Linked DNA regions of Kluyveromyces lactis. The protein of the gene in region 1 purifies or fractionates together with the protein of each later gene. This does not show direct contact. Links are inferred from orthologs where the notes say so. Each region holds a gene or a part of one and is shown in the gene's direction. Other genes may lie near its edges.

What was found. Proteins that work in one complex are often made in the same cells at the same time.
Region 2: the proteins of ASC1 (region 1) and KLLA0_A04730g purify together in Saccharomyces cerevisiae (affinity purification with mass spectrometry; 3 studies listed by BioGRID). This does not show direct contact. The link is inferred for Kluyveromyces lactis from reciprocal best matches to the Saccharomyces cerevisiae genes ASC1 and TIF4631.
Region 3: the proteins of ASC1 (region 1) and BFR1 purify together in Saccharomyces cerevisiae (affinity purification with mass spectrometry; 3 studies listed by BioGRID, with this or other methods). This does not show direct contact. The link is inferred for Kluyveromyces lactis from reciprocal best matches to the Saccharomyces cerevisiae genes ASC1 and BFR1.
Region 4: the proteins of ASC1 (region 1) and RIO1 purify together in Saccharomyces cerevisiae (affinity purification with mass spectrometry; 3 studies listed by BioGRID). This does not show direct contact. The link is inferred for Kluyveromyces lactis from reciprocal best matches to the Saccharomyces cerevisiae genes ASC1 and RIO1.
Region 5: the proteins of ASC1 (region 1) and BRE5 purify together in Saccharomyces cerevisiae (affinity purification with mass spectrometry; 3 studies listed by BioGRID). This does not show direct contact. The link is inferred for Kluyveromyces lactis from reciprocal best matches to the Saccharomyces cerevisiae genes ASC1 and BRE5.

The regions. Positions count from the first base shown.
Region 1 is NC_006041.1:1,084,145-1,089,728, forward strand, and holds ASC1 (40S ribosomal protein RACK1), read left to right. Parts: upstream 1-2,633; coding exon 2,634-3,185; intron 3,186-3,326; exon of another isoform or gene 3,327-3,418; intron 3,419-3,585; coding exon 3,586-4,014; downstream 4,015-5,584. Other genes in the region: APL2 (Apl2p), read right to left, coding at 1-1,984; HEK2 (Hek2p), read left to right, coding at 4,666-5,584. UniProt on the Saccharomyces cerevisiae protein: Component of the ribosome, a large ribonucleoprotein complex responsible for the synthesis of proteins in the cell.
Region 2 is NC_006037.1:421,756-427,650, reverse strand, and holds KLLA0_A04730g (uncharacterized protein), read left to right. Parts: upstream 1-2,722; coding exon 2,723-5,788; downstream 5,789-5,895. Other genes in the region: N-acetylglucosaminyldiphosphodolichol N-acetylglucosaminyltransferase catalytic subunit ALG13, read right to left, coding at 1-388; proteasome regulatory particle base subunit RPT6, read left to right, coding at 827-2,041. UniProt on the Saccharomyces cerevisiae protein: Component of the eIF4F complex, which interacts with the mRNA cap structure and serves as an initial point of assembly for the translation apparatus.
Region 3 is NC_006042.1:82,453-87,255, reverse strand, and holds BFR1 (Bfr1p), read left to right. Parts: upstream 1-2,526; coding exon 2,527-3,930; downstream 3,931-4,803. Other genes in the region: MRM1 (Mrm1p), read left to right, coding at 1-561; isopentenyl-diphosphate delta-isomerase IDI1, read right to left, coding at 787-1,623; Ca(2+)-dependent cysteine protease MCA1, read right to left, coding at 4,221-4,803. UniProt on the Saccharomyces cerevisiae protein: Implicated in secretion, nuclear segregation and in maintenance of cell size.
Region 4 is NC_006041.1:1,883,793-1,888,905, forward strand, and holds RIO1 (protein kinase RIO1), read left to right. Parts: upstream 1-2,659; coding exon 2,660-4,240; downstream 4,241-5,113. Other genes in the region: ARG8 (acetylornithine transaminase), read right to left, coding at 1-931; KEI1 (Kei1p), read right to left, coding at 1,546-2,184, 2,300-2,335; RTC5 (Rtc5p), read right to left, coding at 4,293-5,113. UniProt on the Saccharomyces cerevisiae protein: Required for the final endonucleolytic cleavage at site D converting 20S pre-rRNA into the mature 18S rRNA. Required for the final steps of cytoplasmic maturation of the 40S ribosomal subunit.
Region 5 is NC_006039.1:1,666,441-1,671,428, reverse strand, and holds BRE5 (Bre5p), read left to right. Parts: upstream 1-2,633; coding exon 2,634-4,115; downstream 4,116-4,988. Other genes in the region: CCR4-NOT core DEDD family RNase subunit POP2, read left to right, coding at 439-1,782; OCA4 (Oca4p), read left to right, coding at 4,528-4,988. UniProt on the Saccharomyces cerevisiae protein: Has a role in de-ubiquitination. In conjunction with UBP3, cleaves ubiquitin, leading to the subsequent mono-ubiquitination of sec23.

The DNA.
Region 1 (5,584 bases):
GTTCGTCCAGGACGCCTGTACTTCTCGTGGCAGAGCTATCACCCATGTCAAGTAGTACATCATCGTTCATGTTTTTCAGGATCTCGTTCGTGGCCATTCCCTTTAATTCATCAATATCCTTATCCTTAATGATGTGAACTTCGTTGGGACGGCGTTGCATCTGCGAGATTGGTTTGAAATACACAGAGGATAGAGTGGAGAGCTCTTGAAGTAGACTTTGTAATGTTTCCTTGGAGAAGTGGTCCAAGGTAGAATGCAATTTAGGAATTTCATGCTTGTCAAATAATTGGTTGATGATTTGATCACCGTTGTCGATCGATAGACACCGCCAGTACATCATGGCCATGTCTCTAACGTCCAAATCGTGGACGTCTGTCGTACAAAGTTCCAAGATCTTCTGTAAGAAAGCACTTGAGACTGCATTATGGCATTTCACTACACCCATTAGAAGGGACATTTGAGTTAGGGATCCTAATTCATCGAAAACTTCTACCAGTGGTTCAAGCTTAGTTTCCAAATTTTCGTTTGTATAGTTGGTGATAAACCAGATGTAGTTACAACTGCCTAGATCAGATGTAAATATGGTATCGATATCTTGCCATGAGGAAATTATGGCACCCAACTCATTCTTACTTGTTTCCTTGATAAGATTGTTGTCACTGTCATAACGTAACATGTCGCATACGCATCTCATCAATATATCCCTAAACTCTTCTCTCTCCTGGACAATCGAAACGAATTCTTCCATGACCATATTCAAAAACTTGTTATTCGTATCTTCACCTCCGTTCGAGACTTTAATGGCCAATTGTGAGATGGATTGGATAGCTTTGGTCACGAATTCATGATCAAAGTCCTTTGCATATTCTTTTAATTCGTTGAAAAGCATCTGGCAATGTTTCAAATTATCCACGGGCACTAATCTGAGCAAGATGTCTAATTTCTCTATCTTCACGTACAATGGATCATTAAATTTGACATAGAATATTCTTAACTCTTTCCTTAACAAGTTTGGGAAGGCATCCAAAATAATTCTTATATTTCTCAAAGCAACATATTGGATCTCCACTGGGGTCGACATTAGTGAGACCAATGCAGTTGATAACTTGTTGTATATAGAGTCATGGACTGTGTTCAAATTTGGTAGATGTATGAGTATACATTTAACACTGATCAAGACCACTGATGGATTTACGTGTTGCAAATGTGGAACAACTCTATCGATAATTTCTTGAGACTCCATAGGGTCAATTGGTTTGTGTTCGCTCAATGACTCCAAAATAGTGATTCTTGCCCATTCTGTACATTCGTTCAACACGTTCAAAAACCTCTTAACGTTTTGAGATACTAATTTCTTGATATCTATTGAACCAGGGTCCAATTCGTTAATTTCGTGCAGTGCGGCAAGCGCGTTGGCAACAACCATTGGATTATCGTCAGACAAAGCGTCTTGCAAATCGTTCAATACGCCCAATTCACGGCATAGGTCCGGGTTCAATTGGAACAATTTTGCAACGCATAGTACCGCGGTTCTTCTCACGTACGGATTATCATCGACTAGAGTCTTTCTTAGCGGAATCTCAATGTATTCCAAGATCTTATCAACTCTGATCATCGACATGGTACGGATTGCCATAGACCTAATCAATGGGTTCGGATCAGCTGCATCGCTGACGAATGTGTTCACGACAAGGATGCATAACTCCGGATGAGTTTCTGCATAATTAGCCACGTAAAGGTATACCAATTTCTTCTGTTCAATGTCTTGAGTGGCTATATTCTTCAAAACGTCGGGAAACAAAGATGAAACATCTTTGCCGGAAGTCATCTGTTGAATAATCTTACGGATCGCGTCCTTTCGGGTCTGTGGGTACTGAGATACTAATCCATTTCGTAGTTCAAACAATTCACCTTTATTGGAAATCTTAGGAGCCACTCGTATGGCGTCTCTTAAGAACTTCTTGATCTTCTTATCAACACCCATTGTTTCCCTTGGTATTTATGAGAAAGCAGAGCAAGCAATTGGCTGGAGGAAGGAAGACTAATCGCTTGGGGACAGAGTCTTGAATATAAACAGGTTCATCTATTTATATACAGATTCCAGTTAATTTGATTGATGTTTTCTATGAATACTGGAAAGTGAAAGCTTGCTGGCGAGGTCACGTGTGTGCTCACGTGTATCGGAAGATTCCGTAACCCGGACATCATATGATGTCCGGGTTACGGTATTGAGAGATCTCACTTCCTAATAAGAATGGTTACTACCTGATTAGGGAAATTGCTAAGGGAGATTCACACTTCTGCGTAAATTCTTACGCACCGCAGTGTGGTGTACTGATATACCCGACTTTTTATAAAAACACAGTCCTCAGAGTTGCCAGACCAAAAGATACGCGCGACACCCTTACACCATTCAGCGTACCACTCAGCACGCACCACGCACATTGAAAAAAAATTCTTTTCTAGCCAAAGCTCATCACTTGAATATTGAGAAAGTATTAAGAACTTGATATAACTTGCAAGAGTTTACTGCATTAGTATTAAGCTATCAGTTCTTGTTGATTGAAATTGTTATCTATTCTCTTCTTTTGATTCATCAGAACAACACATCTCAAGGAATTAACTGAAAAGAAATGTCTTCCAGCAATATTATGCTTGTTTTGAGAGGTACCCTAGAAGGTCACAACGGCTGGGTCACCTCTTTGTCTACCTCTGCTGCTCAACCAAACTTGTTGGTTTCTGGTTCCAGAGATAAGACTTTGATCTCCTGGAGATTGACCGAAAACGAACAACAATTCGGTGTCCCAGTTAGATCTTACAAGGGTCACTCTCACATCGTTCAAGATGTTGTTGTCTCTGCTGACGGTAACTACGCCGTTTCTGCTTCTTGGGATAAGACCTTGAGATTGTGGAACTTGGCTACTGGTAACTCTGAAGCTAGATTTGTTGGTCACACCGGTGATGTTTTGTCCGTTGCCATTGATGCTAACTCTTCTAAGATTATCTCTGCTTCCAGAGATAAGACCATCAGAGTTTGGAACACTGTCGGTGACTGTGCCTACGTCTTGTTGGGTCACACCGACTGGGTTACCAAGGTCAGAGTTGCTCCAAAGAACTTGGAAGACGGTGAAGTCGATGACGGTAGAATCACTTTCGTTTCTGCTGGTATGGACAAGATCGTTAGAGTATGTGCCAGACTTTTTTCTTTTATTGCATTGCATTGCATTGCCTATCTCCCGATTAGATTGATTTACCTTGGAATTCAGGTCCTCAGTTGTTTCCCCGTAATATATTCTCAAAATACATGGCTCAATTCACTATACTATGACAAATGATGTTTCTTATATTTGCTACTTCAGACGTAACCTTACATGGTTTCGAATGAGACATACTAATTATCACCAAGATCTCTGATGTCTTTTTAATTAGTGAATTAAAATTTTGAATTGAGTTTTGTGCATTTGAATATCATGGAGCGAGCAATTTGGGCCTGTATTCCCAGATATATCTCATGGCTTTGAACCAAATATCATTTTTACTAACAATATTTTGGGAATTATCTTCCATTCCCCTTATTAACTACAGTCCTGGTCTTTGAACGAAGACTCTTACAGAATCGAAGCTGATTTCATCGGTCACAACAACTACATCAACGTTGTTCAACCATCCCCAGATGGATCTCTAGCTGCTTCTGCTGGTAAGGACGGTCAAATCTACGTCTGGAACTTGAAGCACAAGAGCGCCTTCATGAACTTCGACGCTAAGGACGAAGTCTTTGCTTTGGCCTTCTCTCCATCCAGATTCTGGTTGACCGCTGCTACTGCTTCTGGTATCAAGATCTACGACTTGGAAAACGAAGTCTTGATCGACGAATTGAAGCCAGAATTTGCTGGTTACACCAAGGCTCAAGACCCACACGCCGTTTCTTTGGCTTGGTCTGCTGATGGTCAAACTTTGTTCGCCGGTTACACCGACAACGTCATCAGAGTTTGGCAAGTCATGACCGCCAACTAAGTTGTAGCAATTTAAAATCTCTTAATTTTGCTTTTATTCCCTACAATTTATTCTTGGTCGTCGTCATTACCAATAAATCATAACATAAATCCCTTATGTATATATTAGTTATACAAAAACTTACATTATAATATTAGATCTCCCCTCGGTTAATCTGTCTTATAAGAGTTCCGATATTGTTATCTTAGCTTATTATTATGTTTTCAATGGTTTCTACCTATACATGCATAATATGCATTTCGGTTAGGCAAAACCGTGGCACAGGGCTATTCCAAGGGCAACCCGGTACCTTAGCTTCCCTTTCTTCATATCACCCTTTCTTTCTCTCTCTTCCTGGCGAAAACGCAGAAACTCGTACTCTATCTATAATGGCAATTCTATTTACTTTTTGAACTTTTACCGTTCACTTTAAACCTCTTTGCAAAATATTCCGTTTCAATTAAAATTTTTCATATTAACAAACTTAAACTTACATTAGCTTAGGTTGGACTGGACTTGGTTCTTCTACTGCTCATATTGTTTTTGTGTATTCAGATTATATTTGCTACTGTAAATTGTAAATTGTAAATTAAACCATTTGTTTCTTTGTTCGTTTTAAAAGGTACAAGAATATCACTCTAATATTTACAGGACAGATCATATCCAAAAATTATGTCATCTTCTGCTGATAATTCCAACAACAGTAGCAGCAGGTTCCCTGCTGCTGTTGACTCTATCAATAACAACAGTAATAGTATTAACGATGCTAGTCAATTCCACAACAGTTATAATGAAGTAAATGAAATTAATAATGATACTAATAGCCAAGTGAACAACGGTAACAATATTACATTCCACGTCCTTGTTTCTTTGAAAGAAGCAGCAAAGATCATTGGCCCTCAGGGGAATACCATTGAGACGATAAGGAGGGAAAACGATATCAAAATCGGTATATCACCTCGTGAAAAATCATGTTCTGATAGGTTATTGAATGTTAGTGGTCCCCCAAGACAAGTGGCCAATTCGTTGGGTCAAGTATTACGTGTGCTAACTACGGATTACGAGCCTGAGGAACACGTTTTCAAGCATCTAAGATTCATGTTACCTCCAGCATCGAAGGAAGAGATTGAGGATCCAGAGAAATGGAAACAAATTGGTAATTTGAGATTAATCTGTACCAACCCACAGATTTCGTCAGTCATTGGCCAACAAGGTGCCAAGATTAAGAAATTGATTGAAACGCATACTGTTAAACTCGTTGCCTCGAAACATTTCTTGCCCGATTCTAAGGATAGAGTATTGGAGATTCAAGGGTTCCCTACCTCGGTTGCCAACTGTATCAACGAAATCGCAGAACTGTTCATTCAAGACGACGTCCATGTACCTCCAAGAACTTTGCCCCGTTACTATCCTCATTCTAAACATACAAAAGAGATCCAAGTGTCTCAAACGTTGGCTATTCCAAAAGAATTTGTAGGTGCACTTTTGGGAGTTGGTGGTAACCGTATTGCCAACTTGAGAAAATTCACAAAGACTAAGATCGTCATCGGTCAAGATCCAACTGAAAATGGTGACAGAATCTTTACGGTTT
Region 2 (5,895 bases), on another chromosome or scaffold:
CAATAAGTTTTTTCCCAACTCTCAGAGAGTCCAAAATCGAACCTGTACCTGCATGTGATATCACCAAGTCTATATTATTCGCAATCAACTTCTCGATGTCATGCGAAAACTCGAACCCACATATCTCTATTCCATCCACAGAGATTACTTTAAGGTTTTCAATCTTATCCAAAACCTTGATGCCACAGCTCTTCTTCTCCGTAAACAGACCTAGGTGCTTCTCTACTAGTTGTAAAAATGTATCACTAAACCCACGTCCGTACTGGATCACAATTCTGCCATACCCTAAAACTTTCAACTTCTCTGTGACAGATCTATCAAGTACTGTTTCTACCAGTCTGGGGAAAGAGACAGTAGCTCCGCAAGTTACAAGAACAGTGTTATTCATTGTTTTCTCTATTTGGATCTAAATTATCGATTCGGCGAACCGCACCTCGCCGATGATGTTATTCACGACTACTTGCAACCTGCATAGATCTGGTTAGCTATGCTTGTGATGATTACTGAAATCATAATCATTTTCAACGGACATGCTCATACTTAAGGACTTACAGTTTGAAAGTTAAAATTTAAGGCATTATAAACGTTGAAAAGCTGTAATCTTTAAACACAATCTTAGAGTAAAACGAGTGGCAAACACAAATTGCAAGGGCTTTCCGATCCAATAGTGGTATTTAAGATAGAAGACACGAATTATCATTCATTTGAGAAGGTACTGATACCATAATTCCTTATAATTGCCACTAGAAAGTAAACTATCTCTTGGGATTAAAAAGAATAAGAGAAGCGTTAAAAACTAAAGAAAAACTAACCTATACTGTAAAGGATGAGTGCTGTACAAATTTCGAGTATTCCTTTGACGAGCCATGACTCTGGTATCAAGCCTTTCTTTGACCAAAAAATCCAGGAAAGTGAGCTTAGGATCAGAGAAAAGACATCGAATTTGCGTAGACTAGAGGCTCAAAGAAATGCGTTGAATGATAAGGTCAGATTTATAAAGGATGAATTGAGGCTCTTGCAGGAATCTGGATCATACGTGGGAGAAGTGTTGAAAGTTATCAGTGAGAAAAAAGTTTTGGTGAAAGTTCAGCCTGAAGGAAAATATATTGTTGATGTTGCTAAGGATATCAACGTCAAGGACTTGAAAGTATCACAGCGTGTATGCTTGAAGAGTGACTCGTACCAATTACATAAGGTGTTGGAGAACAAGGTAGATCCGTTAGTGTCTCTAATGATGGTCGAAAAAGTACCTGATTCTACATACGATATGGTGGGTGGGTTAACGAAGCAGATTAAAGAAATCAAGGAAGTCATTGAATTACCAGTGAAACACCCAGAACTATTCGAAAGTCTTGGTATCGCTCAACCTAAAGGTGTTATTCTATACGGTCCGCCAGGTACTGGTAAGACTTTACTAGCGAGAGCCGTAGCACATCACACAGACTGTAAATTTATCAGAGTAAGTGGTGCCGAATTGGTGCAAAAATATATCGGTGAAGGTTCCCGTATGGTCCGTGAGTTATTCGTGATGGCTAGAGAACATGCGCCTTCTATCATTTTCATGGACGAAATCGATTCTATCGGTTCCAGTCGTGTTGAAGGATCTGGCGGTGGTGATTCCGAAGTGCAAAGAACCATGTTGGAATTGTTGAATCAATTGGACGGGTTTGAAACTTCGAAAAACATTAAAATCATCATGGCTACAAACAGATTGGATATATTGGACCCTGCATTGCTAAGACCAGGTAGAATTGATAGAAAAATCGAATTCCCACCACCAACCGTAGCGGCTAGAACAGAGATTCTAAGAATCCACTCAAGAAAGATGAACTTGACCCGTGGTATTAACCTAAGGAAAGTCGCCGAAAAGATGAACGGATGCTCTGGAGCTGACGTTAAAGGTGTTTGTACCGAGGCTGGTATGTACGCACTAAGGGAACGTAGAATTCACGTAACCCAAGAAGATTTTGAACTAGCCGTGGCCAAGGTCATGAACAAGAACGACGAAACTGCTATCTCTGTAGCAAAATTGTTCAAGTAAGGATCCTTCACCCCTTTCATCTCAAACAGCGCATATCATTAGATACATCCCTACATATTATACATAAGCCACGTACAACACACGCCTGTGGTTGTACCCCCGTGTCAATATGTTTCTAATCAGATCCTCTCTTTTTCCCCCTCATCGCATCTCATCTCGTCATAAACTTGACCATCATGTCAATCTTCTCAATATACACGAAAGAAGAAAAAAAAAATTTTTACATTGTAAAGAGGAAAAGCTGTGAATCTTTTGAAATAAAATTTCAACCTTTAAGCCATTGAATTTTACCATTACGATAGCACATTTTGCATAAAACAGGATAGAGGAAAAGAGGCACAGAGAGCTACTGCTGATCTGATAGTCAATAGATTTATCAGCACTTGTATTGTTTGAATTGTTAGAGAGTAACAGTGGACAGTAAAGAAACAAATCTGGGAAAAAAAGAATCTCACAAGAAAGTGATAATTTTTTTTTGTTCTTCGTTTATTTGTTTAAAGAGAAAGAGTTAAGAATTGGACTTTAATTTCATTCTACTCATTCGTGTTTCTATATAACTCGACTCGTTTTCTCTAGGTACTCTGGATTACTCGGTTACAAGAGAGAAATTAAACAGAAAAGAGCTTAGATCCAGCTAATTTCATCTGAAGAAGAGAGAAAGAGCGGTTTTTCAAAGCAGATATGGGCGAACCTACATCCGATCAGCAACCAGCTGTTGAAGCTCCAGTTGTGCAGGAGGAGACAACCAGTTCTCCGCAAAAAAACAGTGGATATGTCAAGAATACTGCTGGAAGCGGTGCTCCTAGAAATGGGAAATATGATGGTAACAGGAAGAACTCTAGGCCTTATAACCAAAGAGGTAACAACAACAATAATAATGGTTCTTCCTCGAATAAGCACTATCAAAAGTATAACCAACCAGCGTACGGTGTTTCTGCGGGATACATTCCGAACTACGGCGTATCGGCAGAGTACAACCCTCTGTACTATAACCAGTACCAACAGCAGCAACAGCTGTACGCTGCTGCTTACCAGACTCCAATGAGCGGACAAGGTTATGTCCCCCCAGTAGTGTCTCCAGCTGCTGTTTCAGCTAAACCAGCGAAGGTTGAGATTACTAACAAGTCTGGTGAACACATAGATATTGCTTCCATTGCTCATCCACATACTCATTCTCATTCTCAATCTCATTCGCGTGCAGTTCCAGTAGTGTCGCCTCCAGCTAACGTTACCGTCGCTGCTGCTGTATCATCCTCTGTGTCTCCATCAGCTTCTCCAGCTGTCAAAGTACAGAGCCCTGCTGCTAATGGTAAGGAACAATCTCCAGCTAAGCCTGAAGAACCAAAGAAGGACACTTTAATTGTGAACGATTTCTTGGAACAAGTTAAAAGACGCAAGGCTGCTTTAGCTGCTAAGAAGGCTGTCGAAGAGAAGGGTCCTGAGGAACCGAAGGAATCTGTCGTTGGAACTGACACTGATGCAAGCGTTGATACTAAGACAGGGCCTACAGCCACTGAATCTGCCAAGTCTGAAGAAGCTCAATCAGAATCACAAGAAAAGACTAAGGAAGAGGCTCCAGCTGAGCCAAAACCATTGACTTTGGCCGAAAAATTGAGACTTAAGAGGATGGAAGCTGCAAAGCAAGCTTCTGCTAAGACCGAGGAACTAAAGACTGAAGAATCTAAGCCTGAAGAAACAAAGACCGAGGAGCTAAAGACTGAAGAATCTAAGCCTGAAGAAACAAAGACCGAGGAGCTAAAGACTGAAGAAACAAAGTCCGAGGAACTAAAGACTGAAGAACCTAAGGCGGAAGAATCAAAGGCGGAAGAACCAAAGCCTGAAGAACCAAAGACCGAGGAACCGACGACTGAACAACCAAAGTCAGATGAACCAAAGTCGGAAGAATCAAAAACTGAAGAGCCAAAAACCGAGGTATTAAAGACTGAAGAACCAAAATCGGAAGAATCAAAGCCTGCAGAACCAAAGACTGAAGAAACAGCAACTGAAGAAACAGCAACTGAAGCAAACGCCGAAGAAGGTGAACCGGCTCCTGCTGGTCCCGTTGAAACTCCTGCTGATGTTGAAACAAAACCTCGAGAAGAGGCTGAAGTTGAAGACGATGGAAAGATTACCATGACCGATTTCCTACAGAAGTTGAAAGAGGTTTCTCCAGTTGATGATATTTATTCCTTCCAATACCCAAGTGACATTACGCCTCCAAATGATAGATATAAAAAGACAAGCATTAAATATGCATACGGACCTGATTTCTTGTATCAGTTCAAAGAAAAGGTCGATGTTAAATACGATCCAGCGTGGATGGCTGAAATGACGAGTAAAATTGTCATCCCTCCTAAGAAGCCTGGTTCAAGCGGAAGAGGCGAAGATAGATTTAGTAAGGGTAAGGTTGGATCTCTAAGAAGTGAAGGCAGATCGGGTTCCAGGTCCAACTCGAAGAAGAAGTCAAAGAGGGATGATAGAAAATCTAATAGATCATACACTTCCAGAAAGGACCGTGAAAGATTCAGAGAGGAAGAAGTCGAAGAGCCAAAGGTTGAGGTTGCCCCATTGGTCCCAAGTGCTAATAGATGGGTTCCTAAATCTAAGATGAAGAAAACAGAAGTCAAGTTAGCTCCAGACGGAACAGAACTTTACGACGCGGAAGAAGCATCAAGAAAGATGAAGTCATTGCTGAATAAATTGACATTAGAAATGTTCGAACCTATTTCTGATGATATCATGAAGATCGCTAACCAATCTAGATGGGAAGAAAAGGGTGAGACTTTGAAGATTGTCATCCAACAAATTTTCAATAAGGCCTGCGATGAACCTCATTGGTCATCAATGTACGCGCAATTATGTGGTAAGGTCGTTAAAGACTTAGATGATAGCATTAAAGACTCAGAAACCCCAGATAAGACTGGTTCTCACTTGGTTTTGCATTACTTAGTCCAAAGATGTCAAACTGAATTCCAAACAGGATGGACTGATCAACTACCTACAAACGAAGACGGTACTCCTCTACAACCTGAAATGATGTCCGATGAATACTATAAGATGGCTGCCGCTAAGAGAAGAGGTTTGGGTTTGGTTCGTTTCATTGGTTTCTTGTACCGTTCGAACTTATTGACTTCCAGAATGGTCTTCTTCTGTTTCAAGAGACTAATGAAGGATATTCAAAACTCTCCTACTGAAGATACTCTAGAGTCTGTATGTGAACTTTTGGAAACAATTGGTGAACAGTTCGAAGGTGCTCGTATTCAAGTTACTGCAGAAGCTGTCATTGAGGGTTCAAGCTTGCTAGACACACTATTCGACCAAATAAAGAACGTGATCGAAAATGGTGACATCTCCAGCAGAATCAAGTTTAAGTTGATCGACATTGTCGAACTAAGAGAAAAGAGGAACTGGAATAGTAAAAATAAGAACGATGGTCCAAAGACCATTGCTCAAATTCACGAAGAAGAAGCCTTGAAGAGGGCTTTGGAGGAAAGAGAAAGAGAAAGAGATCGCCATGGGTCCAGAGGTGGTTCCAGACGTATGAATAGCGAGAGAAACTCTTCTAGAAGAGATTTCTCCTCTCATTCTCACAGTCACAATCAAAATAGAGACGGTTTCACTACTACCAGATCGTCATCAGTGAGATATTCTGAGCCAAAGAAGGAAGAACAAGCTCCAACTCCAACTAAATCTTCTGGTGGCGCTGCCAACATGTTTGATGCATTGATGGATGCCGAAGATGATTAAGTTTGATAGAAATTACCTCGAGTTATTTTACCTTCAACCCTCCCACCTGTGCATATTGTTATGAAAAGAATCAAAGCAAGTATTTACCTATAATATTAATCATGTTT
Region 3 (4,803 bases), on another chromosome or scaffold:
AAGAGCGAAATTGATTATGATCAAGCAGTAAACACTAGAGAGAAGTTCATGACTAATGATAATAAGAAAAACCCACTGGGAATATACTTAGATGAAGTTGTCGACCCTCATAACGTCGGTGCCATCATCAGAAGTGCATATTTCTTAGGAGCGGATTTTATGGTTCTCTCACACAAGAATTGTGCGCCATTGTCTCCAGTGGTCTCAAAAGTCAGTAGTGGTACAATGGAACTATTACCTATATTTACCACCGCTAAACCCTTGCAGTTCTTTGAAAAATCCAAACAGGATGGAGGATGGATGTTTGTTACTTCACATATGAGCATTTCACAGAAAGGAAATCACTTAACAATGAATGAATTAAGTGGCATGCTGAACGAGCTACCAGTAGTTTTGGTTGTTGGTAATGAAGGAAACGGTGTTAGAACAAACCTACTGAACAGAAGTGATTTCACTGTAGAGATTCCTTTTGGGAGAGACCCAACCGAGGGACGAAACACTATTGACTCATTGAACGTTAGTGTTGCTACTGCTCTACTAATTAATGGTTTCTTAAATTGAAAGAAAGAGTTTTGCACTATACATATAGATATATACTGGATTACTGGACATTTTTCTGAAATATTATTCATGTAAATAGAATAAACCAAAATTAATTGCAATCATTAGGTGTAGAGAAGCGGAAAGGGAATATCTGCCAGGTGAACTTTTCGTTTAATAGGGAATATCTCATTCAATAGATGAGTCAATGTACAATGTTTCCGGAATTCAACTTTTGTTTTGTTTTTACATCATTCTGTGAATTTTGGTATCATTTTCGACTTTGTTCAAATCATTTAATTGATTCCACCATTGGAATAGATAATTGTCACAAATTAATTTGAACCATGGAGTGAATTTTAGGTTACCATCTGCGAACATTTGCTTTAATTCTTCTTGAGATACCCAAGCAATATCTCTTACTTCATTAGTGCTTGGCTCGACGGTCAGAGTCTCTCCTTTTCTCAATTGATAGATGAATATATAATCAATTTCGTGTTCTCCCCAAGCACCATCGCTTGGAGCCATGTAATGAATACGGTTCAAAAAGTGGAATTCTCCTTTAGATTCAACCTCTTGTGGTGGGATACCTAGTTCATGTTCCAATTTTCTAACTGCTGCAGTTCTGGCACCCTCTATTTTACTTTCCAAAGAGCCGTTCAGTCCAAGTTCGTCATCGACGCACAAAGGGTGTGAACAGCATGTGTTGGTCCAAAGATCTGCAAAAGTAATCTTTTCAGTGGCACGTTGTTGTAATAGTAATTTACCATCGCTGTCAAAAAGGAACACAGAAAATGCGCGATGTAATAGACCTTGGTTGATGTTCTCCATCAAATGACATAGTTTTTTTGTACCAGCACCAATCGCAGTATCGTTCCAATCCAAAACTATACAATTTTCATTCATCAATCTGATTTGTTCCTCATCATATCCATCTAGCAAATTATCCGTTTCGCCAGAGGATTCAGTAGAATGTGTATTTGGTCTGTTGTTCAATGGGATGACCTCAGGAAACTTTTCTAAGATGTCATCTTGTTCTAATGAATGCACAAGGTCCGCATAGGTAGAAGTTTGAGTTGACATCTCTTCTGTTGGTCCGCTAAGTGAAGGTTCAGTTTGAAATTCCTGCACGTCCTACAGGATGCATACGCTTAGCTTTATTCCGCAAGATGGTTTTCGAAGATTCTTTAAAGCAGAATGAGCTCAACTTTTCTTCTTTTAAATTGTTCGTTAAATCTAATTTTTTTTTTGTTTGCATTTCGGTATCGGCCAAATAATGGAAACTTTTATACGAAAGACACGCGATTCGAGATGCTACCAATAGTGACACAGTAGGCTGCTGCTGTTGTCCATTTCTTATTCCATTTGTTGAAGCTTTGCAATGAACTAACACACTGTGAGAGAAATGTCCCAGTTTTATTTAATATAGAAAAATCTCAAACGACAGTAACCGGAAATTGTCGCTGAGGATCACCTACGTATTACAATGGAAGAGTAGGAAACTTAATTAGAAGGATGAGAAGCTGTGTAGTAAACGAAAATTTGTAAATGACCAGAATATATTGTCTACCCAGATTGAAGCTCAAGCTTTGTCATGTTCCGGAGGGAATAATACACACAAAAGGTCCGATCCGTCTGAGAGCACTGTTGATCTGTAAGAAGATTCGTGGTGTCTTCCAGAAAAAAAAAGCTTTTGGGAAAGATTCGATATTTTTTTAATTGAACGTTGAAAAATTATTCAAACGTGTTAAAAATTTCAGATTCTTGAACAGAATCAAATTCTTGATCTACAAAGGTTGTGTTTGAGATACGTTAATTGAGACAGTATTTTTTCAGTTCAATTAGTGTTATTAAGTTACCATTTCTATACTTAAAGTTTTCTTTTTAACTGTAACCTTTTCCACCAGTCTGTTTTGTGTTACTTGTTTCAGTTGCTAGTTCCAGGTGACCAAGTGAATAACCATAGAATAATAATATATTACAAGGATGTCCACTGCTAGACCAAAACAACATATTCAGAAACCTGATGTTACTGTCAGAGACAAGAAGCTAGAGCCATTGAATGTTCAGTTGAAGAAGATTGATCAAGAATTATCATTGATCAAGCAACAAATTGATAATACCGATTTCTCCAAAGATGCTAAGAATTCAAAGGAAAAGCTGCAAGGTGAATTGAAGGAAGTGATCAAAACTCAATCGGACTTGAAGGCTAAGAGACAACAAATCCATGACCAGATTAAGTTCTTGGATGCTCAAATCAAACGTAAATCTGGTGAGATCAACGATTTGGTCGGTAAGAACAAGAAGTTCCAAAATGTTGGTCAAATCAAGCAAAGATTGGCTGAAATTGACGATGAAATCGCTTCTGGTGACTTATCCTTGGTGGAGGAAAGGTTAAGAGTCAAGGAAATGCAAAGTTTGCACAAATTGTCCAAAGATTTCCAAGTTGTGGAACCAATTAGAAAATCTATCGAAGAAGAGAAAGAACAAATTGATGCTTTGAAGAAGGAATTGAACGCTTCTAACCCGAAGGAGGTTGCCGCAAAGTTCGAAACTATCCAAGGTCAGATCAATAACTTAAACTCTAAGAACCAAGTTGTTTACGACAAGAGAAAGACTTTAATCACTAAGCGTTCTGCCTTGTACAACAAGCGTGACGAAATCTACACTCAAATTAGGAAGATCAGAGGTGATTTCGACAACGAATTCAAGTCATTCAAGAAGAAGTTGGATGAGCAGCGTTTGAAACGTGAAGAAGACGAAAAACTATCCAAGATCTTAGAAGATAAGGAAGAAAAAGTGGGCAAGCTACAAGAAAGACTAAACCATGCCAAACAGCCTGCTTTCACCTTCGAATTGGAATCCATTGAGAATATGTTGACTGTTTTGGATCCAACTTACGTTAAGCCAGTGAAGAACGTCTTGGGTATCGATTTCGGTAGCACATCTCAACAAACTGCCACCCCAACTAAGACTGTTGATTCTGAAGGGTTAGTGCCAATCGTTAAGGAAAGAGAAGGATTCTTCTCCGCTTCAACCGCTTCCAAATCAAAGAAACACAAGAAGAAGGCGCAATCTACAAAGTTCTCTCTAGAGCCATCCATGATCGCCTTGTTGGCCGAATTAGATATCAGAGTACCATTATCCAAGGGCGATGTTCCAGCCACTGTTGAACAGTTGAAGGCTAAGCATGAGGACTTGACTGCCAAGCAACCAGAAGCTACTGAAAAGAACATTGCAGAAGCTGAAGAACAGCTCAAGAAACTTAACTTAGAGTACGAAGCTAAAGAACAGAAAGTTAAGGAAGAAATTGAAGCCAAAAAATTGAAGGAACAAAAGGAAAAGGAGGACGCTGCTGCCGCTGATGCCGCTGTCCCAACTGAAGCTTAACTGATGTAGATACGAGACTTATTTTTTTCTGTTGTCCACTGCTTGCCTTTTTCATTCTTGTATTTCAAGTACATATTAAAACTTATCGGCTGGAAAAGATTAAAATGTTTCATCTGGAGTGTCCTCATAACAAAATGACCCCCATGACTTCTAAATTATATTAGCATCTTAAACAGAAACTGAATTGATTATATGTAGGTTTATGTTTGGATATTCTTATATAATCTTTTAAAGAAAGCACGTTATAATACCATCGTATACTTGATTGCAATAAGATTAAGACTCCAATATCATAGTAGGAACTGAAGATTGGTATCGATTTCATGCGAACAAGATAATTGGGGCTTTTGAGTGTATTTGCTACTTAACTCGGCTCTCATATTTTGCAATAAGCTTAAGTAGGACTGTTGAGGTTGTTTTGATAGTACTGTTAAGAAAGCCCAGGACATTGCACCAGTGTTTTGACCATTTTCAGTAGCATCAGCCGACGTTTGATTATCTTTTGAACCACTAAACATGATGACATCAGCTGGCGAGAATTTTATTTGCTTAACTCTTTCTCTGTCGACGTTATTATTGGACTTGGTGATGGTGGTGAATACATTTCCTAAAGAACTGACCAAACTGGTTGTATTACCAGTAGCGTATGCCATAGCAGCCTGTAAACCACTAGAACCAACGTCCTTCCACATGTTAGGTTCTTTTATCACACCTTTTGTCGAGTAAGTGTATGGCAAATCTAATACTGTACCAGAATGGCACGAATCAAATAATGCAGTTAATCTCACACCGGGCTGCAAAGGAGAAACCATGATCGCATGCATATCATCATCAACAATATGACCAGCCATTTGGAAGTCAACAGGGTATATA
Region 4 (5,113 bases), about 800 kb from region 1:
ATGGGTTACCACCATAAGTGGTACCATGATCACCAACTTTTAGAATATCGTTTACCTTGTCATTGGTCACAGTAGCAGCGATAGGGAATCCATTACCAAGTGCCTTGGCTGTAGTGAAGATGTCTGGATGAGCCTCCTTTGGCAAGTATGAATGTGCCCATAACTTGCCTGAACGACCTAGACCACATTGGATTTCATCGTAAATGACAATAATATCGTGATCCTCACAAATTTTCTTTAATCCAACTAAAGTGTCCAATGGGATTGGGAACACACCACCTTCACCTTGAATTGGTTCCACAATCAACCCAGCAGTCTTTTCTTTCAAGCTAGAAACTTGTTGATCCAATTTGGTCAGCTCATCGTTAATATTTAAAAATTCCACTCCGGGAATCAAAGAACCAAATGGTTCACGATATTTTGGATTACTGGTAACAGACAAAGCACCCATGGTACGACCATGAAAAGAGTTTTGGAACGCAATTATACCTTGCTTCGATGGGCTTTTTAGGATACCGTATCTCTTGGCGAATTTCAATGCAGCTTCGTTGGCTTCGGTACCGGAATTACATAGAAAAACTCTGGATGCATCGTATTGACCACCAAACGATTTAGTAGCTTCCACTAGATTTTCACTCAACTTCAGACATTCCTCATTATAGTACAAGTTAGAAGAATGGATCAGTTTCTTACTTTGTTTGTACATGATCTCAGCCACTTCCGGATTGGCATGTCCCAAAGCAGTTACTGCGATACCAGCAGTGAAATCAATATATTCTTTATTGTTAACATCATCATAAAGAATGGCGTTCTTACCTCTAGTCAGAACCAAATGATTAGGTCTGGCATAAGTGGTTGCCTGGTATTTTTGTTTATCGACTAAAGATTGCAACAATCTTTTAGAAGTGTGTAATTGACGGATAACTCTCATTATTGGGTTAAAGTATGGAAGGAAGCCTTTTCGACCGGTTCAATTTGATTATCTAATGTAGCGTACAGGATGCAGGATACTAAGCAGATTCCAAAGTCTAGTAACTAACACTGCAGTGCCCTTTATTATCTATTCAGATCAACTTACCGTTAAGTGATATGGTTAGCGATGAGATTTTTGAAGAAACTTCCTAAATGGAAATACTTCACATTGCAGTATATATAAAGAAAAAAACAGCTAACGGCATAGATGCACATAATGAGTGAGAAAGAACAATACAATAGAGTCCTGAAGATATGAATCAGAGGTGAAAACCAGGAACAATGAGCGATGCAAGCTTCATTGTATAAAGAGGTACCCTGTCAAGAGTGATCACGCATTGTGTGTCATATCCAGTGCCAATTGATGGTCTTGTGTTCGCTTTTTTTTATGAGTCACTCTTACTGATCTCTCAATAGGATGGTGCATCTTATCAAAAAATTGCTCTCTGATTAGGAATTAATTCCGTGTTCGAACCCCACTTGGACCACTTTTTGAAAAGACAATGATGCAATGTTAGCTATATGATAATATTAGTCCGTATCTATATAATGATGTGTTTAAAGGGTACCGGGCTATAAGTATCTCTTGCATAGGTAGAAACACCATTTTTCGAATTTGTATCTCCATTTAAACAAAATGTTTCTGTTGTGTAGATTGACTTCTATATCGTTCTGATCGAATGTGAACTTCCCACTGCGCAATAGTTGTTGTTGGAATGCAATTATGATGAAATTGAAATAGAATCTGACTGCTAGTGGAACTAAAGTTAGCAATATGATGAGGAAAAATTCATAGCCGCTAGAAGCACTCTTAGAAGTATCTACTTTAGTTGAGATCGTGGATGTGGTTCCCTCATGAGCTGGTCCAAGTGCGGTTCCCGCGCTCTTCAAGTCCGTAACGTCAGTGGAGCCCTCCTGGCTGAACCACACAGCAGTGAACCATAAGCAGTAAATGCAACTAACAATTGTGTCCACACTGAACACAAAAGTAACCGTGGACATTAAGAGGATATTGGGCTTATAAACTTGTCTTATTCCTGAAATGAATACCACTAGACAGAAAATTGACCAGATGTAAAAAGTCCATTGCACAAAGTCTAACGGGTGTCCAGTGAAAAGTGCAAGAACACCATACATCCCGCTGAATTTGTTGAAGGTTAGCACACCAAGTGCAACCTCAACACCTATGTACAAGGGATAAGACAGGAATGTCTAAAGGGCAATGTCATCTGTTAGTACATATTACTGGTATCAAAAAAAAACCATGCATCAAACGATCATGTAAAAACGTCTTTCAACTGCGGTTAAATACCCAAAAGAAACATACTTGTGGCAAATGAACCATATTTGATTGCTGCTGCATAGGAGTATAATAAGGACAAACCCTGACGTTAAAGCAAGTTGGTTTCTTCCACTTACACAGGTAGACCTTTCAATTCATCTACTGAGCGTTTTAGAATGTTTACAACTATTTCCTCTATTGAAAAGCAATTCGCGATCCTGTCTAGAGCATCGTGAAAAAAAAACGTAGGAAAAAAAAAAGTACGCTACTTTACTTTAATGGTGTACAAGATGAGCGATGAGGTTGGAATAGTGGTTATTTACAGAACAATATACGCCGTTCAGCTCCTGTGTATTGTCAAATTAGTAAATCAGAAAGCAGAAGTTATCTATAGTTGGACTACGAATGATGAATATTGACGATAAGCTGGAAAAACTGAATTTAGCCAACCGTGATGAGCATGTCAACACTCAGATCCTAGAGAGGTATGCCAATAGCATCAAAACAGATGAGTTATCATTAACTAGGGGTAAAACCAGCAAAGATAAGGCGAATAGGGCCACTGTAGAGAATGTTTTAGACCCACGTACGATGAGGTTTTTGAAATCCATGATGAACAGGGGAATATTATCAGCATTTAATGGTTGTTTGAGTACAGGTAAAGAAGCAAACGTGTACCATGCGTTTGCTGGTAATCATGAGGAGAGACATCTGCTGGTAGAGGGACATGATGATACAATAGGAGCCCCACAAAATATTGAATCAACAAAACAAAAAGCTCTAACTGCCGAATCTGAGGATGCCACATCCACTTCAACTGCCACTGATGAACCAAAAAATAAGAAGGAATACGCGGTGAAGATTTACAAGACATCTATCTTGGTTTTTAAGGATCGTGAAAGATACGTTGATGGTGAATTTAGATTCAGAAATTCGAGATCTCAACATAATCCTCGTAAGATGATCAAAATTTGGGCTGAAAAGGAATTTAGAAACTTGAAGAGAATATACCAAAGCGGTGTCATACCTTGTCCAAAACCAATAGAAGTTAGATCAAACGTTTTAGTCATGGAATTTTTAAATAGAGGAGATGGTTTCGCATCTCCGAGGCTTAAAGATCATCCTTACAAAGATAGAGAAGAAATTAAACATTACTACAATTTAATGATAGCGTACATGAGACTGTTATATCAGGTATGTCGCTTAGTTCATGCAGACTTGAGTGAGTATAATAGTATTGTACATGAGGATAAGCTTTATATTATTGATGTTTCGCAATCCGTACAACCAGAACATCCTATGTCTCTAGATTTCCTAAGAATGGATATTAAGAATGTTAACTCATATTTCCAAAAATTGGGAATTGACATTTTCCCTGAACGGGTGATCTTCCAGTTCATCATCAGTGAGGTCTTAGACAAATTCAAGGGTGATTACAGATCAAGCGATGATCTAGAAACATATGTTGCCGACAATTTACCTCTAAAGTTGACTGATGAAGACGAAGCTGAAGATGAAGTGTTCAGATCTTTACATTTGATAAGAAATTTGGGTGGTTTAGAGGAAAGAGATTTTGATAGATTCACTGATGGTAAATTTGACCTACTGAAATCATTAATTGCTAATGAAAACAGGAAATATTCCGAAAATTTCACAGCATCGGAGCAATATGAACTCTCTTCTTCTGATGACGAGGAAGATGACGTAGATGGTGATGATCTCCCTAACCTCGTAACGGATATCAATGAAGATGACATAGCTGGATCAGATGAAGATGATGATAGTGATGAAACTAACGATAGTTCTGATGGTGATGGATGGGTCTCCGATAAAGACACTCCACTGAAAGGAAAAAAGTACGAAGATAAAGATGCTAAAAAACAACGTAAGCAAGAAACAAAAGAGGCCAAACGTGAAAAGAGGAAGACCAAAGTAAAAAAACACGTTAAGAAAAAGCTCATTAACAAGACGAAAAGCAAGAAATGATCAATTTAAAAATTCTATGCAATTTCAAATATTTAATATTTACTTAGCGATTTTAAATAGATCCACCGCTTTGATGTTGCCCTACAAGACCTGCCATTTCCAATAATGCACGATCTTCTCCCATGCTTTGTAAGTTGATCTTTTGCCTTCTTTTGGCTTCGGCCTCTTCCCATTGCCATTGCTTTACTTGCTCTTCGAGCTCTTTTTCTCCTCCGCATCCCCACACTTCTACATCTTGGATTATGAATCGGTATTCGAACGAATTCCGTTCTTCTCCACGTCCACTTATTAGACGGCCAGGCTTAAAACTCCCACCTGCTCCCAAATGTCTAAATATACCGAACTCGAGAGATGAATCAATAGTAAGTGAAACATTTCCTGGGAAGTATTTTTTACCGTTAGCTTTGATGATAGGTTGAGAGCTACCAATACCTATACCTCCCCCAACAGTGTTGAAATATACGTTTCCTGTCTTGAATGGGTCCGCATCGAAGATCTCTTGTCTTGGATGAAGTTGGATAATTTTTGTAGACGAATCACCAAACAAATCTTTATTTGATACTTTCCATGGGTCGCGAATACAAACAGCAAATAACAATTTTCGTTTTTTCTTACTTAACGTATCCAAATGTTGATCTTCACTTTTTAACTTACCATATTCTTGCAGAAAGTTTCTATACCTTGGATTTTTCACGGCATAAGCATCGCCATCTTCATCGTCCTCGTCACGAATTCTCATACCCTCTACGAATAATATCGTAGGTGCCATCCACTTGAAGACCTTAGATTGGAAAGATCTCATAGAAAAGCCCGATTCCCTTCCAACATATAATTTCTGGAACCTGGAGAAAACAATCTCCTTCGGTAAAAAAG
Region 5 (4,988 bases), on another chromosome or scaffold:
ATATTTAATTCTCTCCAGACACGGGCATCGCTTTATATATAGACACACCATATACAATCTTATCGGATCTATCGTTTTTGTACATTAATATCAATCGGATGACTTAGGCTAAGTCTTGCACATAGAAATTTATTAAATAAATAGTAGAAAGGCTGGATAACACCGAACGTTGTGAAGCATGCAGATCAGGGGCAGAAACACTGGACAATGGACCCATTCGGGTCCACTGTCCATTGAGAAGTGGTGCCAGTGGTAATATCAACACCGTACACAATGACATTTCCCTCGAAAATTCTGTTTCTGCCAAAGAGGAACGAAACAGGAAAGCCTTTAGCATTAGATAAGGAAGAGACAGAGACATATATGGTTGGAATACGATTCAATTCTGATTTAAGAGTTGTCATTTAGGACTACTCCAGTAAGTACGATAGAATTTTAATGCAATCTCTTAATAGTCAGCTCGGAGGATTGCCAAATTCGGAGCAATTTTTCGGGAAGGGCGCTGTTCAGCAGCAAGGGCCAGTTGGGATGAACGGGATGCTTTTCTCCCCTTCTATGAATAGTACTCGTATGATGCCTCAACAGTCGCAACAACCACATGTGCTGCATGGGCTTGAGAACAATGGGGGTCTTCAAAATTCGTACTTGTTGAAACAGAAGATGGATGTGGTAAACAGTGCTTTTGGGCAGCAAAACAACTTACAGCAGCAGCAGCAACCGGGAAAAATGCCGTTGCCGAATAATGGGCAAGTTCCTATGATGATGCAGAACAGCATTTCCGGTGGTAACTCTAATAACAATACGATTCCACAGCAGATGCAATTTCCAATGCCGGTACAACAACAGGCAATGGGAAACGTGAACGGGCTTGATACAACACCATTACCTAATGCATCTCATACGCCAATCTCGTCTCCAGCGCATCTTTTGATCAGAGAAGTGTGGCAAAACAACGTAAACTTCGAGTTTGCCATAATCCGTAAAATGATCGAGCAATACAAAGTTATTTCTATAAGCACCGAGTTTGTCGGTACGATAGCGAGACCCATTGGGAATTTCCGCTCAAAGACAGATTACCATTACCAGACGATGAGATCCAACGTGGATCTACTAACCCCAATCCAGATTGGACTTTCGTTAAGCGATTTACAGGGGAATAAACCAGACAACTTCCCATCCACATGGCAATTCAACTTCCATTTCGACGTAACAAAGGAGACCGTGAATTCGGAATCGTTAGAACTATTAAAGAAATCCGGTGTCATCTTGGAGAGACATCAACAGAACGGTGTTGATTTCGACGAGTTTGCTCAGTTGATGATGGATTCCGGGTTATTGTTGAACGATGAGGTCACGTGGATCAGTTACCATGCAGCATACGATTACGGGTTCTTAATCAACAGGCTCATGAACACAAACATGCCCAACAACAAAGAGGACTTCGAATGGTGGGTTCAGAAATACATACCAACGTCGTACGATTTGAACCTAATTAACAAGTTAGTTCATGAGGTAACGCAACAACACCCACATCCACCACCATTACATCTATTACAAAGTCAACAGCAACAGCAACAAAACCAACAACAGCAATATACACTAGAACTACTGGCTGACGAGTTGGGGATTCCGATCTTCCCATTGTTCAGCAGCGCAGCGGGACAAAGTCTCTTGGCACTATTGGCATACACCCAACTCGGTAAATTGTCTTTGTACAAACTACGCAATGGAACAGATTTCAGTTACTACAAGAACCTGATCTACGGAATCACACAGGAGTAATATATGTGATTTTTATGTGCCAGCCTTTCATATAGAGTATCATCAATAATGCATTTATGTATGTGAATATATATATATACATACACAATCATTCTTAAAATAGGGTATAAAAGGTGGCTGACTAGCCACCGTCACTGAACTGAACTGATGCTGACCAGTGCGAAACCCACAGGTTGCAAGAGCGCAACCTGTGTACTTCATTCACCTGGCATCTCGTGAGGCATGATTTCATAAGATGATTGACGAGTTTTCCATTAAAAAATTTTGAAAATTGACTCTTTACATATAATCACTAGATGCAAACATGCACATACTTTGCTTGTGAGGGGCGTTTCTTGTTGTTAGGGTGTCTATTTGGTTCGCTTATCGGTTTTCATGCATTCATTAGAAACCAGACTTTAATCTTTAGCGATAAGTTTGAAGCGTGAGGCACATATACGGTGTTCGTAGTGCTGAAATTTCCCGTGAGTCTGGAAAAAAGCACCCATAGGAAATTAATACTTTTTTGTTATTGTATTCTAGTATACCCTATACTTTCCTGCTTGAATATCCACCGTTAATACACTTGGATTAAAACGTTGTTAGAGCGTTATTAGAGCGTGCTTTTCCCTTCTTTTTTTTTTTTTTGTTTGACAGTTTTATTTTTAATTCATTCAAAGGTCTTTCTGATTGACAACGATTGACTGTATTGCATTCATTTCATACACTTTAGCATTCCAATTTGATTTTTTGATACCCGCGATCGGTTTGAAATTGAGAGTTATCAAAGAATAGTTGAATTCTTTTACAAGAACCAGTGTGTTTTTTCCTGTTTAGATTAATTTGATACAATCACATTTGGTTTGGAAAATATGACCACTTACGATGTGAAAGAGATCGGATATGCGTTCCTAAGGACGTACTATGAACGTATGCATAATGATCCATCGAAATTGTCGTGTTTATATTCTACCACGGCGGAATTGACCCATGTGAATTATAATGAACCTATCAAGCATGACAAAGATTATTTAAACACCGTCAAGTTGATTGGTAAGGATAACATCAACAATTTCTTTACCAGAAACAGCAAGCGTGTACAGGATTTGAAGGTCAAGATTGATTCGTGTGATGTGCAATCTACTGGGTACGAGAGTTCTTCGATTCTGATATTGATATTAGGGGAGCTATGCTGGACGGATTCACCATCTTACAGATTTTGTCAGTGCTTTATCCTGGAACCAGCAGAGTATAACAGTAAAGTCTACGATTTGAAAAACGATATCATTCGTTTCATTCCTGACCTTGCTCCATTAGTGAACCCAGACCAGCCAGTATCACCACCATCTGCTGTTGTTGTTGAAGCTGAGAATGAGAAGCCAAATGTCAACGGGGACGCAGCTCCTGTTTCTGTTCCTGTATCTGTTTCTCCAGTAGTGGTAAAGGCAGCAGCGAAACCGGTTGAGATTGTCAAGCCAATTCCAACTGAGAAGCAACAGCCCTCTACTGCTCCAACGGAAACAAAAGTGGAACAACCCCAAGCCGTTTCAGTAAATAAAACTAAACCTAAGGAAAATGAGGCGATTGCGCCAGCTACTGCTCCTGCTGCTATTGCAGAAAAAGAAAAAGAAGACAAGGAAGACGAAGCACAAGCACAACCAAAAGAGCAAGCGACTTCAGCATCAGCCACCCCAACCTCAACGACAACCCGTTCTGAATCGGTGCCCCCACAAGAGGTTCCTGAAACAGAAGTCACCCCAAAGGCTGAACCAGTGAAAATGACTTGGGCAGGCAAACTCAACAAGACATCTAAACTAACTACAAACTACATCAAGGTAGATCTTCCACAAAAGAAGTCTAAAAGTCCACCTCCAAACGGATTCACCAAGTCAAACAAGAAAAGCAAGCAGCAATCGAAACCAATAGGCGACGTTATCATCCAAAACAGCAGCGGTTTCTACCCAGTATACGTGGGTAACACAAATGGGTTGACCGCATCCGAACTTGAAAGAGCTCTAATAAAAGAATACGGTGATGTCGTAAAAACCTCATTCCAAGATTCGTTCGCTGTGGTTGATTTCAGAGAAAAACCTGCAAGAGACGCTGCCATCGATGCTCAACATTTAAAAGTCGGTGAAAGAGTTATTAATTTAAACCCAAAGGGCGATAAAGCTTCTAAGTACAAAGCCAAGAACAACAGCAACAATAGTAATAGTAATTCTGGTAACACTAATCACAACACAAACGGCAACAGTTCACATAATTCCCCATCACCAGAACTCTCGTTAAACCAAGGTAATTCCACGCTTAAAAAGAGCTCAGTGAAATCCCGTAATGACAAATCAAAGAACTAATCTCATGTACTTTAATCGTAAACCCAAATCATCTCAAACCTAAATGAAAGGCGTGATAAAACCATATTATAAAAAAAAAAACCATAAAAAAAATTAACTAAAACGATGAAACTATGAGTCGGGGAAAACTTGTTAAATATATCCGTATGTAACCTATCCACATGTACATTTTATATATTTCCCTCTCACTATAAGCATATCACCGAAACATTATTGTTGTCTTCCCTTTTTGTTCCTTCTTTCTCTAAGTCACAACCCTTTGAAGTTGGTTCGAGCTTGATGAAATTTAAAGGAACAAAGATCTTCATGTGCACATCACAATGATAGAAAAGGTGATTGGCAGAAAGATCAGTGCTGAAGCCAAGGGGACAGGTGAGGAGATACAACTCTAGGGTCATAGAAACCATCAGCTATGTTAGTTCCTCCAGCGAATTTCGGGATTCCCGAGGAAGGTATCTATCGATGCAGTAAACTTGAGACCATTAACCTATCATTTTTGGAGACTTTGAATTTAAATACGATCATATTCATCGGTGGTCAAATCCCGAGTAATTTCTTCAAAGAGTTCTTCGCCACTAACGGCATAGATTACTTTGTCATTAAGACCTCTGGTGATTCGAGTTCTTTGGTAGCCCCAGATCACAAAAAGCGTCAATCTTCTGCGAATCATGGTGAGACGAGACGGAAGAGTCTTTGTGATAACTGTCACTACAGTTACACACTCACGGACCAAGACGATTTGATGCTAATCAAGAGTCAGAGCATCCGGCGAATATTCCGGATACTGTTAGATGTCTCGTACCATAACGTATTGTTAGTGGATAAGACGTCCGCTGTGATTGGAATATTGAGAAAGATTCAGAAATGGGAACT